Linked DNA regions of Danio rerio. The protein of the gene in region 2 interacts with the protein of the main gene of each other region in a biochemical or structural test. Links are inferred from orthologs where the notes say so. Each region holds a gene or a part of one and is shown on either strand. Other genes may lie near its edges.

Region 1 (4,011 bases), on a different chromosome or scaffold from region 2:
CTAGCCACAACCCAGCACTCGGAAACAACCATACATTCTGGCATGCACACACACATACACTACAGCCAATTTAGTTTATTCAATTCACCTATAACGCATAGCTTTGGACTGTGGGGGTAACCAGAGCACACAGAGGAAACCCATGCGAACACGGAGAACATGTAAACTCCACACAGAAATGCCAACTGACTCGAACAAGCGACCTTCTTGCTGTGAGGTAACAGTGCTAACCGCTGCACCACCTTTATCTGTAATACATTAGGTTATTCCTAATTTAATGCTTTACCATTCATTTATTCAAAAACGTAACCCCTTAATGGTCAGCCCATTTTTATGGTTGAACAATGCATGATATATAGTAGTCAACATTTAGGTGGATCATAAAAAGAACAAGTATAGTTTCAGTTCCACTTTAAGGAAAGGTTTTAATCCACTTCAAATGTTGACTACTGTAGTTTATCAAGGTAACACAATATACTGAAAAACATCCCACTTATGGAACTGAGCGTTTAAATAGGTAATAAAAAATATGAACAAAATTTGTAGTATTGTCTATTCAAAATGCATTTCGGTAAACTTTAGTAACCAATAACAAAAGAACACATTAACATTTAAGTCAATTTTATTTCTTTACATAAAAAAATTATGTAAACGGCTCCAGATCACATTGGTTTTGGAGGAGCTCTTGGGGCACCACCCTGGAAAAAGAAACAGAAAACAGTTACATATAGATAAAAAAGCATAAAATAGCATGTTTTATTTATTCATGTTTGTAACACTGATGTGAAGACCAGACTTACAGTAGGCCTGAAGCGTGGAGGTGGTGTACGGTCCTTCCTGGCCTCGCGAGAGCGGTTCCTCACCACTTTACTGTGGATGGCACAGCTGACACAGTAGTGCAGCTTCACATAGAGTTTGGGCAAAACATAGGCTGCACAAAAACAAAACATAACTGTTAATATTGTACAATGCCTCTGTCATGCTTTGCCATGCATCATGTAGTATGTAATGTAACCTTTTATAAATCTTAGTCTGCAAAGCTTCAATGATCAAAGTGCACAATACATAACTAATCTCTCCCTGAAAAAATAAGCACAAATGTATGTAGGTTTCTAGCAAATTAGCATAATTTCATACTTGAATGGTCTTCAAAGCCTGCGAAGTAAACAATGTCAACTTTGAGCCTTATAAACAACCTGTTGTGTTGAGATGCTGCTTATTTTGCTGCAACAGCTAATTAACTTATCAGCACTCCCAAAGGACGAAGTCTGCAGATCAAATTGCTACAGTAAAACGGGCACTACTGTTACAGCTCATATCACTGTATTTGAAAGTGTAGAGAAAGCTTCCAGAGAAATTAAATTATGGCAGTGGTGTCTAAACTATATCCTGTAGAGTTTAGGGCCAACTGCCTGGAAGCTAGTGTGTTTAATTGTAACTGAAACCAATTTTTTTTAGGACAGTGGTGCTCCAGGATTTTAGTTTGAACACCCTAGAGATATGAGAATGACTATGGCTTCCAACATTTGTTGTAAGTGGTTGACTCATCACAGCAGACTGGCCAATCTGAACAGGCACTCAAAAAGCAAAGGATTAGAAAGATTGGATCGTGGAATGGACCATTTTAGACTGGATGCTGCCACCTGTATTATACGATTTTTGATCTTTGATGATCTATTGTAGGAGACATCTAAAACAATAGTTTCAAAAGGGCACTAGGGACACAATCAGTGTCCTCATTTTCTAAAGCAACTGTTTACTCACAATCAAACACACTGGCTTCAGAGATGTCCCTGACTGCAGCAGCCTCCACAATATTCCTGATGACAAACTTCTTAATGGCCTTGTCCTTGGGCACACAGCGGGCGCAGTTTGTGCAGCGGATGGGCTGGACATGCCCTCGTCCCTTCTTAGCACGACCGTTATTCCTCCTCTTCTTAGTCTAAGATGTGGAAAAGTACAATGAGAAGTGGTTTTCAGGGGACAACCTAAAAACACTGATTTACTTCATTTCAGGCTTGGGCATGTTACTTAAAATTATATATTTACTTTATAACGCTTTGAAATAAACTTACATACTGCAATTGCTATAAAAAAACACAATAAAAATTATGTGTTATGATACACTTTTCATTTAACATGCAATAAGGCCTATTGTGTATTAAATGATATAGTGTGGTGATTTAATTTTAACTTTACAATTTTGAAATACATATATAAAAAGATCACTTTTATGTTTGCGTGCGTAAAGGCGTAACTTGTAGATGCATTACGTTTAAATGTAATAGTTGTGAATGCGTACGATGCTTTAGTGTAACGTTACATGCGTAGACACCTCAGGCGTTTTATCGCTTCAATGGGTTAATTTGCCTAAAAACCGATTAGTGTTTGCTGATGAATGAATAAACTTCACTCCGAAACGCGTACCCGGCGAGATAATACGCCGTATCGTAAAGATCGAGCCAGAATACAGGACTAGCCTCTGACTGAACGATTGGTAAACTCACCATCTTGATTTTAGAGAGGCATGAAAGAGGACCGGAAAAGCTCTTACGTCATTTTTATAGTTCACACGGCGGCCGGAAGTATGTAGTTAAGAAAATAAAAGCCCTAAAAGTAAACCCATTTTATTATTTCAATAATCGATTACAGATCTTAATATTGTGCAATTTTAATATATAAACATTTGAACGAATTCTTCATATTATGTTTTACCTGTGATATAATGCACATACAAAGAGAGATGGTGCTCGACGTAAAGTGAGGTAACATGACCTCCCTGAAAGAACAGGAGAAATATGACATCTTGGTAAACCCAAATACTGCAAGGTAAATATACATGTCACAGATGAGACCCATTGTGGTGCTGCAATTAATACTGTATTAAGAGGTAGCAGTCCTCTATCTCCAATTTTATATGTATGCATGGGTTTATTTGTTTGTTTTATTACTAAAAGCTAACAGTAGTAACAAATATGCAAGTCTTTCTTTCTTTTTTCTTGAACTGGGGTTGATGTAGCAAAAACTAACATGGTCACTTTGTCACAGTAATTAACACAGATGAACCATTTTCGTAAAGAATTGTTTATCCATTGTGTGTGTGTGTGTGTGTGTGTGTGTGTGTGTGTGTGTGTGTGTGTGTGTGTGTGTGTGTGTGTCTGTCATAAAAATGAAACTGCCAAACTTATTTCTTTTTTTATATCTAGTTTTTATAGATTTTTTTTTGGATCATATAACCAGTGGAAACAAACAAGTGGAAACGAACAAACTAATTACAAATACTCAAATTACTGTGTTTGAGTGGTTTTTGTTTACTTTTCTTAAACAAATATTAATTACTGTCATCATGTCAACGTTAAAATTAATCAGTTATTAGAAATTAGTTATTAAAACTATTATGTTTAGAAATGTGTTGAAAAAAAAATATTTTCTTCTTTAAACAGAAATTGGGGAACAAATATGGGGGGGGTAATAATTCAGGGGGGCTAATAATTCTGAGTTCAACTAAACATTAATGACTTATTACTCTATATAATTTAGAAAATGTTTTAGTCGTTCTCTTCTTGTACGTCTGAATGAAAATCTAAACAAGCTGATTGTTCCAATTTTCATCCTGTATTTCTTTCATATAATAGTCCCGCAACTGTAAATATCTAAATAGGTTTTGTTTTAGAAAACCAAACTTATCTTTTAAAGTTTGGAAGCATTCCATTCTGCCAACTTTTATAGTTGCACAAAATGAAGAGATTCCTAATAATACCCATTGTCCCAGGTTTAAAATCCAATTCCAAATCCATTCAAAATTTGAATTTCCCGTACTTATTTCAATACTTAAAAAGTCAATTCTATAACATTTTATTGACAAAACATCCTGATGAAAAATGAGTACAGTACAGCCTATAGTGGCATTATATAAATCTTCTAATTTGCCATCAAATGATTCTTGTTAATCTGGAGACTATATGTTTTTTTGTACACTGGGTAATATTTAGTGGGTGATTTCTTTCAATC
Region 2 (3,657 bases):
ACATCCCGTGCACAGAATGATGCGCTTGAAGTAACATCAAGTCACAGCGTGTGGTGCTTCCCATTGTAAAGTTCAAAAGCAAAAAGGGAAGAAATACCAATGCATAGCGTATGATATTTTGCCACAGCCAGAGCCTTTTCTTTTAACCACTTTAAGTTTCAATTTATAGTCTTTTCTACTCATGCATTATCTAACAGACACCTGGTAGCAAGTAACACGAGTTAAAAACCACAATAAACCCCAACAAGATAAAGTACCTTTTATGCAAAACCATAGAACTTTATCTACAAATTAAATACAATAATGAGAACACGCAATGAACACAGATAGAAGTTCACATTAACTTTTTTTCATCTTTACTCCTTTCTGTCGATTCCCAATGCAAAGAATGACAGCATAGTAAAATTGAAAATTGAGTGTTGTAGCTTTGCAGATAATAAAAATTCAAATTTTTGTTTCCAAAACACCTGGTATTTTGTTTTAAAAGCTTTGTTCACAAAAAATTGAAAATTATATCATGAATTACTCTCAAACCACTGAGACCTTCATTCATCTATAGAACTCAAAGATATTTTAAATGAAATCTAAGAGCTTCCTTATCCTCCACAAACAGCAAAGTCCAAGAAAATACCTAAAAACTGAGCATATGCATTATATGCCTCAATCGAAATATTAGCAAGCTTTGAAAATACATTTGTACACGTATAAATTGAAAATAACAACTTTATTGAACATTTTCTTTTTCTCAGTGTCAGTATAGGGCAATTTGTTAGGTCACATCCGTGTACAGTGCCAATAAACATGCACAATATACTGACACTGAGGACAAGAATCTTTGACTAATGTTTTTTTTTTTTTTTTTTTTGTGCACAAAAGGATTCTCATAGCTTGTTAAAATTCTAGTTGAACTGCTGAAGGCATATGGTCTGTTTTGAAGAAATTTTTGGTACCTTTCTGGATTTCAAGGTTTTCTTTTTGAAAGTGGTCAATGGAGCTTGCTGTCAATGCAGGACGAGGGAGCTGTCAGATTTCATATCGTAATTTATATTCCAAAGATGATTGAATGTCTTGGGGGTAGGGTTGAAGGATAAATCAGTTGAGTAGCGATATTGCAATGCATGTATCTGCAATAGTCACATCGCAGGATTGGATTATTTAAAACAAATAAAGATATTATTAAATACTATTATTGTTAAATGGTTTATACATACCATGTTATTTTACATTAAATTGTTAAATTTTTGTACCTGAATACTGCTAGACCCCCCCACACCCCCAAAAAAGGCTCTACTTCTTTCAATATAGCTAAATTGTTCCAGCCTGGCTGCTGTCATTTCTTTGCTTAAATGCCCAAATCTGTGCAGTAGTGATCGTAAGTGGCAGGAGCACAAAACAAAAATCTCACTGAAAGCGCACAGCTAATTTGTATAGCAGCATGTAACTCAATGAATATATTAGAAAAATGAACATCTGAATGTACATAAAATGGCAAGTCCTCTCTGGGAACAAGTGATTAGAAGTGTGATTTGATTTGTTTTGAGTAGAACACTCATCCGATTCAGGACAGATATCCCGCCACCAAGGACACACAATGTTTTGACTTCACTTTTTTTAGGATGTGTGGTGCACATATGCTTTTGAATAATATAAAACAAACTTAACTTATCATATTACATTCTTTAAGGCAGGGTTGCCCAAACTTTTTTTGAGAAAGGGCCAAAAACCAAACTTGTTTGATGCTAATGGGCTGAATGTAAATAGAATCGCCTTGGGTAATTTAAAAATGTATTTAAAAGAATTAAATATTACTAGAAAACATTGCTTTATATTAAATAATACAGTATAATTTTTTTACATTTTATAATGAAGTTACTACCGTAAAAACTACTAATTTATAACAGAATTGAGTTACAGTAGTTTTTGCCTTGATTTGCTTACTGATGTCTTCGGCTTAGTCCTTATGTACATTTTAATTATTTGAGTTTAATTAGCTTTTTTGTAGCTCAGCAATAAAACAACCCTCTCCATCACTTTACCCTCTTCCAAGATGGGATGGTGAGCCAAATCAAATGTTACAATGGGCCAACTTTGGCCCGCAGGCCCTACTTTGGGCATCTCCGATTTAAGGCAAGCACTTCTTGCACATGCATGCTGTTGCAGGCATATACTCAACACATATCGGCAAGGCATATTAGCGTGATTTTTTCAAATGTACATTTTGAGACATAGTTGACCAATGCTGATGATGTTCCATTTCCTGTAATATTGTGGATCCCTAAAAGTAATGGTGTAAAATAAAATTTTGTTTAAAAGAAATTGTATTGTTACATCCATAGCTAACTTTTAAAAGCAAATCAGTTTTAATCTTCTGAAGAGACATGAAGTTATAAATTAAGGATTTTATTAACATATAACAATTGATCATCTGACATATGTTGTAAATATTGTAAACTTGACTCTCAATTGTACTTGATTGACGTGAGAATTAATGAGGCTTGGTCTCATGTCCCACTAGCACATTTGATCTTCCATATGAACCAGTAAGGTGTTAATCAGTATTTGTAAGTGAATAAAAACCTAAATGAAATCTGTCCATCAAGTCCATTTCAGGAGACTTGCTTTAAAGCACTTGATTCGGATTGATTACATTTAAGCATAACTATTTTGAAGGACTTTCAATGAAAGAACAGAAATCCAGTTCCATTAAAATACCTTCATTTGTTTTTTTTTGTTTTTTTGTTGAGCTTTTGTTGGATGAACTATTCCTTTAATTAAAATCTATAACATGCTTTTGTTCTATCTTGTTTTGCAGGTTTCTTGATTCAAAGCATAAAGATCATTACAAGATATATAACCTGTAAGTGTGTTTCAAAAACTTCAGTTCTGTGATATCGGTTTTGTAAATGGGTTTCATCAAACTGCTTTTACTGCTAGAATGTTCTGAAAGCTGCAATCATGTTCACTTGAAGATTAAGGCGGCTGTTTGATCGTTGTGAATGGAGGGCTTTGTCATTGCACATAGATCCCTTACTTAACTCCGATTGTTCTGTTGGTTTTGGCATTGGTGCAAAGTTCTAAGCAGAAAAGTATTATGTTGAACTTGTGTACTTATCTGCTTTACTTTGTGTTGTTTAGATGTGCAGAAAGACATTACGATACTGCCAAATTTAACTGCAGAGGTAAGAGGCTTGGATTGCATAAATGTCAGTTTTTGTGTGGTAACGTTGATGGTCTCTCAATGATCTCTTTATTTATCTTTTGCAGTTGCACAGTATCCATTTGAGGATCACAATCCTCCTCAGCTAGAGCTCATTAAACCTTTCTGTGAAGATTTGGATAAATGGCTCAGTGAAAATGACAATCATGTGGCTGCCATTCACTGCAAAGCTGGAAAGGGAAGAACGGGTGTCATGATTTGTGCGTACTTGTTACACCGAGGCAAATTCAAAAAAGCACAAGAGGCTCTGGACTTCTACGATGAAGTTAGGACCAGAGACAAGAAGGTGAGAAATATATATGAACATATTTCTGCTTTGCATTTTGTTTTTAAAAAAGTTGATATGCAGATTTTGTATACAAATGTGAAGCCCAAAATAGTTTCAGATTTTGATTAGCTAGCGCAGTGTTCCCCAACCCCGATGGACGGTACCTGTCTGT

Evidence for each region. The genes of interacting proteins can lie anywhere in the genome.
Region 1: the proteins of ptenb (region 2) and rps26 form a complex in vitro, tested with the Homo sapiens proteins (2 studies listed by BioGRID). The link is inferred for Danio rerio from reciprocal best matches to the Homo sapiens genes PTEN and RPS26.

The regions. Positions count from the first base shown.
Region 1 is NC_133198.1:30,595,761-30,599,771, reverse strand, and holds rps26 (40S ribosomal protein S26), read right to left. Parts: upstream 2,522-4,011; 5' UTR 2,511-2,521; coding exon 2,508-2,510; intron 1,943-2,507; coding exon 1,765-1,942; intron 932-1,764; coding exon 801-931; intron 699-800; coding exon 663-698; 3' UTR 605-662; downstream 1-604.
Region 2 is NC_133187.1:19,011,062-19,014,718, reverse strand, and holds part of ptenb (phosphatidylinositol 3,4,5-trisphosphate 3-phosphatase and dual-specificity protein phosphatase PTEN), read left to right. Parts: intron 1-2,812; coding exon 2,813-2,857; intron 2,858-3,135; coding exon 3,136-3,179; intron 3,180-3,264; coding exon 3,265-3,503; intron 3,504-3,657. UniProt on the Homo sapiens protein: Dual-specificity protein phosphatase, dephosphorylating tyrosine-, serine- and threonine-phosphorylated proteins.